2 linked regions of the Tribolium castaneum genome follow. The protein of the gene in region 1 interacts with the protein of each later gene in a biochemical or structural test. Links are inferred from orthologs where the notes say so. Each region holds a gene or a part of one and is shown in the gene's direction. Other genes may lie near its edges.

Region 1 (5,803 bases):
CCTTCAAAAACACACACAAGTGCGATTTGCGAAACTCATATGTAAGTTTTTTTTATTGTTTCGTAAGTATGGTGTTATAGTGACGATTTTTTCAGTGTGTTCCGATTTTGGGCCGTGGATTCGAAACAGGCGGCTACAAGTGTGAGTGTAAGCAAGGTTACGAATATCCGTTTGAAGATCTCATCACTTATTACGACGGCCAAGTGTTGGAAGCCGAATTTAGTAATTTAGTTGATAATAATGAGACACGTTTTGACATGTTCAAGTGTCGCTTAGCTGGCGCTAGCAGTGTTCAAGTTAGTATCGTTACAGTTTTGTTGCTGATATTTGTTAGTTTCGGTTTGTATGGCAGAAGTTGAAACCAATGACTTGAAATCCAAGGCCTTTCAAGTGCCTTATTGATGATATTTTATAGTTTTACCGTCCATTTTCAGTTGTAGTTGTAGGTTTTTGGTACAAAAAATATTTTGTATGTTATATTGTGTACTTGTTGTGCACTTAATCGTACTATAGGCCGTGTTGCAATTTGTTGGGCGATCGTGAGTTGTGTACGTGTACATATTTTTGATATTCTTTTTATTCCTAAGTGCACAATTGAACAAGAAATTGTTCAATTAACCGATTTTTTTATTACTGTTTTATTAATTTCTCCGTCCGTTATTTTAACAATCTGATTACAATAATTTAAGTTTAATAAACGATTTTACAAGAAAATCTTTTTCATTTCGGTGAGATCGTGGGCTTTGAGTTCGATTAAAAAAAGTTTCAGTTCCAGGGAAACTAAACCTCTTTCAAACACAATTTTCTAATGTCAAATAAGGCAGAAAAACGGCCCTAAAACCCGGCTTGCGACCGACCAAAGCGCCAAATTTCTACAAAAGCATCTAAACTACACTATTCACTTACCAAAAAATTTGATCTTGGTAAAAAACTTTTGAAAAATCCTCTCGTTTTGAATTTATTTAATGAGCATTGTCACAAAATGTACTACACAATTTGTTTTGTTACCCAAACAACAACAAAAAACACACTTCAATTCAGATATTTTCCTCCAAATAATTGTAAATGTACTGCAACACTAGCACGAACACGATGTAAACGGCCAGAAAAAGCACACAATAGACGGCAAAAATGTAGCCCAGGATTTTCGAAAAACGCATCGAATTTGTGACAAAGTTTTGACATTTCCCGCAGGGTGATAAATAAGCGACAATTTTAAACAGACATATTTATTTCCAAAAATATACAAATAACATGTATATACCAACAAAATAACTCTCAGATCAGTCCCTAAATTTCAGTTTGGTCTCCAAGGTAGGTAAATTGAGCAGTGCATTACACAGTTATGTAATAAAAACCTTATCTAATTATCTAACGTACCAACAACCTCTTTTTACAAATGAACACTTTACACAGCTAATTTAATTACCTAAAATCACGTTAATTACTTAACTTCTTCTTTGCCCTCTTTTTTGGTGAGGTAGTTATAGTTGAGAAACCTGCTTAATTGCACTAATTGCGCGCTCTCATTAGTGAAATGACAGGCAAAAAGCAGCATATTTTGGGGCTGCACTTTCCAAGCAAATCGCATAAACATAGCAGAATAAAGACACAACGCTACAAAAAAACATTAGTTCACCAAACTCCAAAACAAGTTAATTGTACCAATGGTCATTTTCCCACTGATATATTTGGGATCTTTCGATATATCAGCGATTGCAGCTATAGGTATGCCCCAATTGGCAACAGGCCCCCAAAAATGCGTGCTATAACACACTTTTAGTAAAACAACGACTCAAACAAGCACTAACCTCATCAAATATTCCCTAAACTCCTTGCTTTTGAGCTGTTGCACCAACTTCTTCCCTAGAGTTGCCATTTTCGTGTCTTTCTTTAGAATGGAACTGAAATAAATGAATTTTAAATTCGTTATGTTAATTAAATGACCTACACATACACTCCAAGGAAGACTGGTGGTCAAATAAATGTGACAAATGTCAAGGTTAAGGTTATGCCAAATCATTCTGCTAACGTTTCACGAATTTTTTGTGTTTGAAACTCTGAAAGACACACTCCTAACACGAATAACACAATTGTTTGAAAAGAAATGGTTAATTGAAGGCAAAAAGGCCTAATCTCGCGTTTAAATTTAACAGTAACTTTAACTTTTCGGTGTTGCACACTTTGATGGCGCGCTTTCAACAATGGAAACAATGGCGTCCTCCCCCAGCCGTTGTGAAGTAAGGCTTTAGGCTTTATTTTCAATTTTAATTTACATTTTTATCATGAAGGAAAAGTCGAATCCGGCGGTCAATGACTCCAACTCGAACCTAACAGAAGACTCTGGCGATGAGGCGGTAAGTTAACGCACATTTGAGGCAAATTCCTGTAATATTAGTAGGATGAGACCTCAAGTGTTGGGAGCACTTCGACGACGTCCAGGAGCGACACCCCCACAAACAGGGTGCGGAAAGGACGGCGGGGTAAGAAAAAATTCAACCCGCTTAAAGTCCCCAAACCGATTTACAAGTTTACGTGAGTTTGGATGAGGTTAAGTGGTGTTTTTTTACTGGTGTTTTATTAGGTGTAATATTAAGGAGGATCATGGACAGCCACTTTTTGGCACCCAGTTCAACCACCACTTGAAAGAAGGCCAACCGCTGATTTTTGCAGCCGTTGGGAGTAACAGGGTTACGATTTATGAGTGTCCTGAGGGGAATGGGATCAAGCTTTTGCAGTGTTTTGCTGATCCTGATGTATCCTTTTTTACACGACACTTGACTTGATTCACATCGTTTGGCTTCTTAATAAATCAGTTAGATGAGAATTATTACACTTGTGCCTGGACTTATGACGAAGAGACGGGGAAGCCCCTTTTGGCGGTTGCTGGTTCAAGAGGCATAGTTAGGATTTTGAATCCGGCGTCTATGACCTGCATGAGGCATTATATAGGCCATGGGCATGCGATTAACGAGTTGAAGTTTCATCCAAGAGACCCCAATTTGTTGCTGTCTGTGTCCAAAGACCACGCTCTGAGGTTGTGGAATATTAAGACTGATGTCTGTATTGCCATTTTTGGGGGTGTTGAGGGGCACAGAGATGAGGTTTTAAGTGCTGTAAGTTGGCTTAAGATTTTTATTGGTAACAATATCCGAAAAAAAAACAAAGTGAGTTTGGTGATTTAGGATTTTGACTTGTTGGGCAACAGAATCATGTCTTGTGGCATGGACCACTCGTTAAAATTATGGAAATTAAACAAGGAGAGTATGAGGGAGGCTATTAAACAGTCGTACCAATGGAACACGACTAAGAGCACAAGACCATTCAATTCATTAAAGGAACATTTCCCTGACTTTTCCACTAGAGACATTCACAGGTTTTATCAATTAATTAATGAGGTTTTCCCCTTTTAATATTTTTTTTTAGAAATTACGTAGATTGCGTGCGTTGGTTTGGTGATTTTGTTTTGAGTAAATCGTGCGAAAACTGCATCGTGTGTTGGAAGCCAGGACGTCTGGAAGATGATAATTTGCGAAAGGGTGAAACCACGTCCACTGTCATTCACAGATTTGAGTACAAAGAATGTGAAATTTGGTTTGTGAGATTTGCTATGGATTTTTGGCAAAAAGTAATACTTTTCATTGCTTTTTAATTCGTTATTATTAGTTTGTTTTACAGATTTTGGCTTTGGGTAATCAGACTGGCAAAATTTTTGTGTGGGATTTAGACGTTGATGATCCAGCTCAAGCCAAATGTTACACTCTACAGCACCCTAGATGCGCTACAGCAATCCGACAAACTAGTCTCAGTAGAGACGCCAATATTTTATTATGTGTGTGTGATGACGGGACAATTTGGAGGTGGGATAAAGTAGCGTAACTACTTCCCGCTTTGTATTTTTTACGATAAAATAAACTATTTAAATTGAACTGACTTTTATTTTGACAATATCAGGTCTTCCTTTCCAGTTGGCAGTTGTTTTCTAAGTTTTGGAGCTCTAGATAGCAAGTCCCTCAATTTTTTTCTTGACTTATTCGCTCCATGTATTATTATTGAAGCAAATTACTTGTGTTTGCGAGAGCTAACGCGAAGGTTATCTCGCAACCAAAACTATTTCTTCAAGTACATCGCAGTGAAAGCGGAAATAATCTCCGAAAAGTGTCCCGCGTGCCATAATATTCATAACCAAATTACATAAACCACAATTACTACATAATTAATTAATGAATTATTTATTGTTTACAAGTAATTCATTCTTTTCGCGAGGCGAACGAACTTTCGGAAAACCAGTAACGCATATGACACAGTTTATTTAACTCTTGACCTTTGGTAGAAAAATTCAGATCTTTCTTTCTTTCGTACCAACACGTACGAAATTGAAATTTGCATGCACTTTCCCTTGCGTTAAATTCGCTCGTTCTTTTATCATTCTGCGGTGGCGCTAAAAAAACAAACGATTGACACTTTCCGAATACGAAATAGTTTTCACCGACACATACAAAAATCTATTAATTGATCATTGAGACCACTTTTTTTGTCTTTTCAAAAACACAATTTTTCCTTCGATAAAGATCCAAAAGTCCAGTGTGAAAGTCAATCAGTTTGCAATATTGGGCTTGGCCACAAGACGAGAATGCACAGAGGGGCGCGGCTTATTTATAACTCTTGCCACCTTGCACCAGGTTTCAGTCGTCCACAAGTTTAAAAAATGACAGTGTTAACGTGCGTTACGTGCCTACTTTTTTTTGTAAGTAAACCGAAATGACCCGCCACTGGTTTTATCTTCTTATTACCATGGATACGTACAAATTTTGGCACGTTTCTGTGGCAATTAGGCGAATCTACAAGCATGTGCGGCTCGTCAATGATAAAAAAATAGGGTTGTTTTTATAATATTCCATATTGAATTCTTTAGTTGGCTCTAGGCGCCAATCATCCTTGGCATAACAGTGTTCTTTACATTAGAAATTTCAACCTTGCTTTACTTTTACTCACCAATTTCGCTCCACAACATCAAAAAAAAAATTAAATAATACGTAAGCTTGTGGTTACATACTCCCTTACATAACTTATTTAAATTTCAAAACTGTTCCACTTTCTTTACAAATAAAATGATGAATATTTAAATTATTTAATTATCCAAAGATTACATTAAGTTCGGGCCAACTCCCACCTCGACTAAACATCCCGGGGGCTATTTTAGTCCCCCAAGGCAGACCAGCTCCCTTCAGACAGCAAAGGATCCAAAATGAGGGCCCCCCACCTCGATTGAGACGACCTCCACCAATAACTAACGCAGTCCCAGCCCCTGTCCGACCTGTTGTCGAAGAACCAGAAGAAGAAAACATCCCAATAAATAATAACAGTAATTTTGACGATGAAGTCAACAAATTGGGACTTTCGGTTCTCCAATCAGCAGTTGGGCAAGCTGTAGCTGCACCTGAGGAGGAACAACGTCAGGTGCACTTTAGACCGGAACGACCTGTTCCTGTTTTGAGGCAAGATATCCGCGAAAATGTGCCCCAAGCACCCGTTTTGAGGCAGGAACACCGCCAAAGTGTCCCACGGCCGTTATTGAGGGAGGACGTGCCTGTGAGGCAGCCCCAGCCGGTGAGGCACACTCAAGTAATTTAATTTAATAACTTTTTGTTTCTTTATTTTAATTATAATATTTAGGTGCGCCAGCACGTTCCAACACCGCCGCCCCCGCCCCCAGTGCGTCAGCCCACCCGCGGGCACCACCCCGCCCGCCAACCCTCGCAATACCTCGACGAAGACGGCGTCCGTCAAAGAACCCGTAAAC
Region 2 (5,347 bases), on another chromosome or scaffold:
ACCCCACCACGGGATTCCCCGGAAGCACGGGATTCCCAACCCAACGCCCGACAGGGTACCCCACCCAGAGACCCACCTTCCCGTCCCAAAGACCCGGATTTCCCACACAACCGCCGACAGGGTACCCCACCCAAAGGCCGGGATTCCCCACACAACCCCCGACAGGGTACCCCACACAAAGACCCACTTTCCCCTCCCAAAGGCCGGGATTCCCCACACAACCTCCAACCGGATTCCCCACCACTCAACCTCCCACTCCTGCACCGACGTACGGTCCACCAATCACAACACCTCAAACCTCCACTGGTACCCCAATAACCTCGGCCCCCTCCACTCACTTTACCTCCCCTGCCATAACAACCGAAGCCACGCCCTCGCCCGAGGATAACAACATAGTGCCAACCACGCGGCCTGGACCCACGGAAATCCCCCAAACGCCACAGCCAGGCGTACCAACTGATGAGGATTTGAAACACCCGCCACATATTCACGCAATTGATGTCGAGTGCGCCAAAGACATGATGACCATCACGATTGAATTTAACCGCGAGTTCAATGGAGTGATTTACTCCAAAGGCTACTACAACATGCCTGAATGTCGCTACGTGAACGAAAATTCCGAAATGACGAAATACCGCTTCACCGTCAGTTTGAACTCTTGTGGGACTGAATTTATCAACGCGTTTGATACTCAAGGACAGTCGTACCTGGAGAACGTCCTCGTGATCCAAAACGAGCAAGGGATCCAGGAGGTTTGGGACACAATCAGAGCTGTGAGGTGCCTCTGGGAGGGCAACCTGAAGGACTCCCTCAGCGTGGCGCTCAGCGTGGGGATGCTAAGCCAGGAGATTGTGACTTTCAGTGGGGACACCGCCATGGCCAAGCTGGACATCCAACTGGGCAAAGGCCCATTCGCGCCCCCGGCCAACGGTTTGGTCAAAATCGGGGAGCAAATGACCCTTGTTATCTCCGTGACCGGAGACCCCGGTTTTGACATCCAAGTCAAAGACTGCAGGGCTACGGACTCGACCGGCGACCGCGTGTACCCCCTAACCGACGAAAACGGCTGTATTCTCAAACCCAAACTATTTGGCGCGTTCCAAAAAACACGAAACACGGGAAATACCGGCGCTTCCATCATTGCCTACGCGTTTTTCAACGCTTTTAAATTCCCAGATGTGATGGATTTGATGATTCAGTGCAACATTGAGCTTTGCAAAACCGACTGTCAGGTGTGTCCAGAGCCCAACCAGCAAATCGAGCCTGGGAGGAGGCGCAAACGTGACCTTTCGTACTATAATAACACTGACGGGGTCACAATGGGGAAGCACCTGAGGGTCGTTTTGGCGGAGGATTTGAACGATATTGGCAATACTGAGGCCGCGTTTGAGGGGGAAGTTTGTATGACGACGCAGAATTTTCTACTAGTTTCGGCGATTTTGATCTCGCTACTCACTGCCAGTAGTGTACTAAGTGCTTGTCTCTGGTTGAAGAACCAACGGATTGCTCACAAAGGGTGACAACTTTACCACAATCCTGCCAATGTAGTTCCGTCCATTAAGTTATTGTGACTCCAGTATTTTATTTAAGTTTTTTAATTATCGTAGGCCCATATTTATGTAAATACTTGACTAATAAAGTAAGAATTTTGTAGCGTGGGGTTTTCTTTTATCAAGGTTGACGACAACGACAGACTAAATTTGTTTAATAAAAAAGCATAATTTTTTTGTATGGGACTTTATTGATTGAAATTTACATAATTTGAGGCGTAAAACTAGTAAATCATTACGATTCATTGTAAGCGATTAGTTCATAATACATATAAACGAAAAAAAAAAATGGTCTGGGTCAGGGTTTGAACCCATAACTTTTGAGTTGGTGTTGATCAGTTGATGATTCCTCGGTCATAAGCACTTTCGTACTACATAATAGCAGGTTTTCTCAAATCAATGCGGTGCCAAATCGGTACAAAAAGTTTAAAACAGTGATTTTATAACAAACAAACGATGGGCTTATTATTTGGGTGCGTTTTAATGTCGTTAGATTGACAAATAACGAGGTTGTTTTATTCGGCCTTGTGCAACTTCGGACGTAGCGTTATGTCACCTGCCAAAAAAGCGACAAATGGCAAACCATTATGAGGTGCCAAATTGGTAAATAATCCTTGAAAAATTGTGTTATTGGCCCCTGAACCCCTCACTTATCATTTCGCCCCCTTTTCTGTCACACAATCCACAAATCGTGTGTTTTTGTGTGTTGAGGTTATGCTGTTTCAGGGCAGGCAAGCCCCCCGTGGGTTTGCATTTGGACGTGCTAAAGGGCGACAAACTAATACAAAAATTGATGATCGACGACAAAAAGTGTTACTTATTTGGACGCAACGCCCAAATGAACGATTTCTGCATCGATCACGCGTCATGTTCGCGGGTTCATGCAGCCCTCGTTTGGCACAAACACTTAGATCGGGCGTTTCTGGTGGATTTGGGGAGCAGTAAGTGTCACGTGTGCGCAACTTAGGGCTTTTTTGTGTCAAGACTTGGATAATTTGCGTTGTTTTAGCCCATGGCACCTTCATAGGATCATTAAGACTTGAGGCGTATAAACCCACTCAGTTGCCTATTGATTCTAGTTTTCACTTTGGGGCGTCCACGCGAAATTACACGATCAGGGAGCGGCCCCAGACGGGCATGCGGCCGATCATTGACGAGATCGAAAAGGCGGGCGAGGAGACCGAGGGCGGATTGCTGGGGCTCCCCGAGACCGAAACGGAACTCGATGTAAACCACCCCAACCAGCGAAGCTGAGAGCTTTACAAAAAATATTTTTTTCCATAGAATTTGACGGAATTTAACACCGCCCACAACCGGCGGATATCAATGCTGGGAATCACCGACGACACGGAAAAACGCAACACCAACCGGAAGCGCAAACGCCAAGTCGTTTCCTTCAACGAGGACGAAGAGATCATAAACCCTGAAGATGTGGACCCGAGTATCGGTAAATTCCGAAACTTGGTCCAAACCACCGTTGTACCTTCAACCATCAAGAGGGCCAAATTCGCGGCTGAGAATATCGGAATCCCCACTGAATACAAAAATCCCAAAATCCTTCATCCCTCCGCCCCCGATTTGTACACAGACCTGCCCCCCGAATCCCACTCTCCAACCAGTTCAGGGAATTTAAGCATTTACAGTTCGTTAAGTTCACGCCTTGGAATGGTTTTACCCAATCCGGCGCCAGATGTCGACATGGGACAGAACTTCGCCCCGCCCACTCCCTTTGTCCCGCCCCAAGTACAAATTGCGGACGCCATGGAGCCCAAGAAAAAGAAGTATGCCAAGGAGGCGTGGCCTGGCAAGAAGCCCACGCAAACGCTATTGGTCTAGGATTAGGTGTAAGCTTTTGATGTAATTTTCTCAAGGTCATAGATTAAATATTCAATAAAAAACGAAAAGTAGTTTCTTTTATCGAAAAACATGGCGAAATAATTTCTGAATTCTGGGAAACAGTTTCAAACTAACACCAACTTGACAAAAATAGGTTTTTTATTTCACTACTTGATGGAATGCAAGGCACTCTCGATTGAAATATCAATCAAAAAATTAATATTTAATAATGGACAATACCTCTGCTGGCACCTTCTCCCGGCCTTTGAGCCCCTCGAGCTCCATTAGAACGAGACACCCTGCGACTTCGCCACCTGCCCCTCGCACGAGCTGGCAGGCAGCCCCTAGACTGCCCCCCGTGGCTAACAAATCGTCCACAAGCAGGACGCGTTGCCCCTTACTTATGCTATTTTCCTGAATTTCAACAGTGTCATGACCGTACTCGAGAGCATACTGCGCCGACAAAATTTTCCCCGGTAGTTTACCCTTTTTCCGAATTGGAACGAAAGGTATGTTCAAATCAATCGCCATCAACGGCCCCAAGAGAAACCCCCGAGCATCCAATCCCACGATACATTCAGCCGGGGGCTCAATTTTGCGTGCAAAAGACACCAAAACGTCACGTAAAATTGCAATGAGTTCAGGCTTTTGGAACACTGAAAACAAGTCCCTAAAAAGGGGTAATAGGCGAACTTGGGGGCGCGTTACCTGAAGAGGATGCCGGGTTTGGGGAAGTCGGGGTAGGACGTCACGTTGGCTTTAATTTGGGCGATTTTTTGGTCGAGATCAGACATTTTAGTGGAATGTTTGCGAAGGGGGGCCCGCACACTTGTCACTAATAAACGAAAAAAGAGGCAATTTAATCAATTATTTATTATTAATAGCCACAATAATTGATAATTACCATTTAATTTGTATACAAATTTGAGGTTAAGGGCACATTTATTATTATTTTTCGAACTGTGATGTTTGCGCCAATCACAGGCCGACTTTTCGGAGCGCGATTCAAAATTTGACCGCAAATTGCCATAATTTGGCACTTTTCTGACTCCAAAATGAGCAGAATCCCTAATGGAAGGCCACAGCCCCACAATTTATTATGTGGAAACGATTTTGTTGTTTAGTTTAGTTAACTAGAGTGCTTGAGGTTAGGGACCCAATTTTTTATGCTTGACATTTCGACCAATCACGCTAACGCACCTCGAGCGGGCAATTCAAAGTTCAACTTTATATAACAATTTTTCAGGGGTAAAGACAAGACAGTGGTAACGATTTTCGCATTTATTTGTTTTATTGCAGTGCAAAGCTGGGACATTTGTAAAATAAACATTACGTAACGGCAATAACGACTCACTTTTCCGTTTAACGGAACTCAACTATTTACATAAGAAATGAGGCGAACTCACAAGAACAAATAAATTTATTACATAAAGTTGTCTATTATTAGTCTATTAAGAGCAACTAGCATATTACAGGATTATACAGGAGCTTTGTGGACCAAGTTGAACCAGTGCCCACACTCGCATCTCCGGGGCTGCCCCTTGTAGAGCCACATCCAGTTGACGCTGGTGGACTCCTCCTCGCAGATGCAGCCCACAAGTCTGGCATCAAAAGCTGACGGAATTTCGTTGGGTTTATCCTTGGTGCCTGGGCCCCTTTTGATGACTTTCAGGTCGAAAGGGTTCTCATTGCCGGCCACTTTGGCCATCAACTCGCGCTTCTCCAGCCCGGTGGCGTGCTCCACGGGGTCCCCCATGGTCACTGAAACACACAGGGGTGTCTTTGAGGATTACGTAATGGAGATTACGACTCGGGAACGTGCACAGCTGACAAATTGTCCGATTTCACGAAACGGGGGACTCACCCTTGGTGGCAAACCTGTAACTTGTACATAGCACGTTTTTTCTAGCTGTATTTACGGCAATTCGACTGCAGAGAGAAGCCATTTTGGGACCTTTTCC

The links.
Region 2: the proteins of escl (region 1) and NiPp1 form a complex in vitro, tested with the Homo sapiens proteins (2 studies listed by BioGRID). The link is inferred for Tribolium castaneum from reciprocal best matches to the Homo sapiens genes EED and PPP1R8.

The regions. Positions count from the first base shown.
Region 1 is NC_087397.1:436,246-442,048, reverse strand, and holds escl (polycomb protein EED), read left to right. Parts: upstream 1-2,100; 5' UTR 2,101-2,204; coding exon 2,205-2,240; intron 2,241-2,291; coding exon 2,292-2,357; intron 2,358-2,401; coding exon 2,402-2,535; intron 2,536-2,584; coding exon 2,585-2,756; intron 2,757-2,816; coding exon 2,817-3,116; intron 3,117-3,185; coding exon 3,186-3,376; intron 3,377-3,426; coding exon 3,427-3,628; intron 3,629-3,678; coding exon 3,679-3,879; 3' UTR 3,880-3,929; downstream 3,930-5,803. Other genes in the region: uncharacterized protein LOC662535, read left to right, coding at 1-41, 96-359; Mpc1 (mitochondrial pyruvate carrier 1), read right to left, coding at 1,445-1,617, 1,666-1,766, 1,812-1,879; uncharacterized protein LOC662631, read left to right, coding at 4,709-4,747, 5,146-5,625, 5,677-5,803. UniProt on the Homo sapiens protein: Polycomb group (PcG) protein. Component of the PRC2/EED-EZH2 complex, which methylates 'Lys-9' and 'Lys-27' of histone H3, leading to transcriptional repression of the affected target gene.
Region 2 is NC_087396.1:21,737,264-21,742,610, forward strand, and holds NiPp1 (nuclear inhibitor of protein phosphatase 1), read left to right. Parts: upstream 1-1,897; 5' UTR 1,898-2,124; coding exon 2,125-2,153; intron 2,154-2,276; coding exon 2,277-2,491; intron 2,492-2,559; coding exon 2,560-2,777; intron 2,778-2,834; coding exon 2,835-3,386; 3' UTR 3,387-3,454; downstream 3,455-5,347. Other genes in the region: EGF-like domain-containing protein 2, read left to right, coding at 1-1,520; Aprt (adenine phosphoribosyltransferase), read right to left, coding at 3,603-4,056, 4,095-4,180; cytochrome c oxidase subunit 5B, mitochondrial, read right to left, coding at 4,864-5,147, 5,251-5,332. UniProt on the Homo sapiens protein: Inhibitor subunit of the major nuclear protein phosphatase-1 (PP-1). It has RNA-binding activity but does not cleave RNA and may target PP-1 to RNA-associated substrates. May also be involved in pre-mRNA splicing.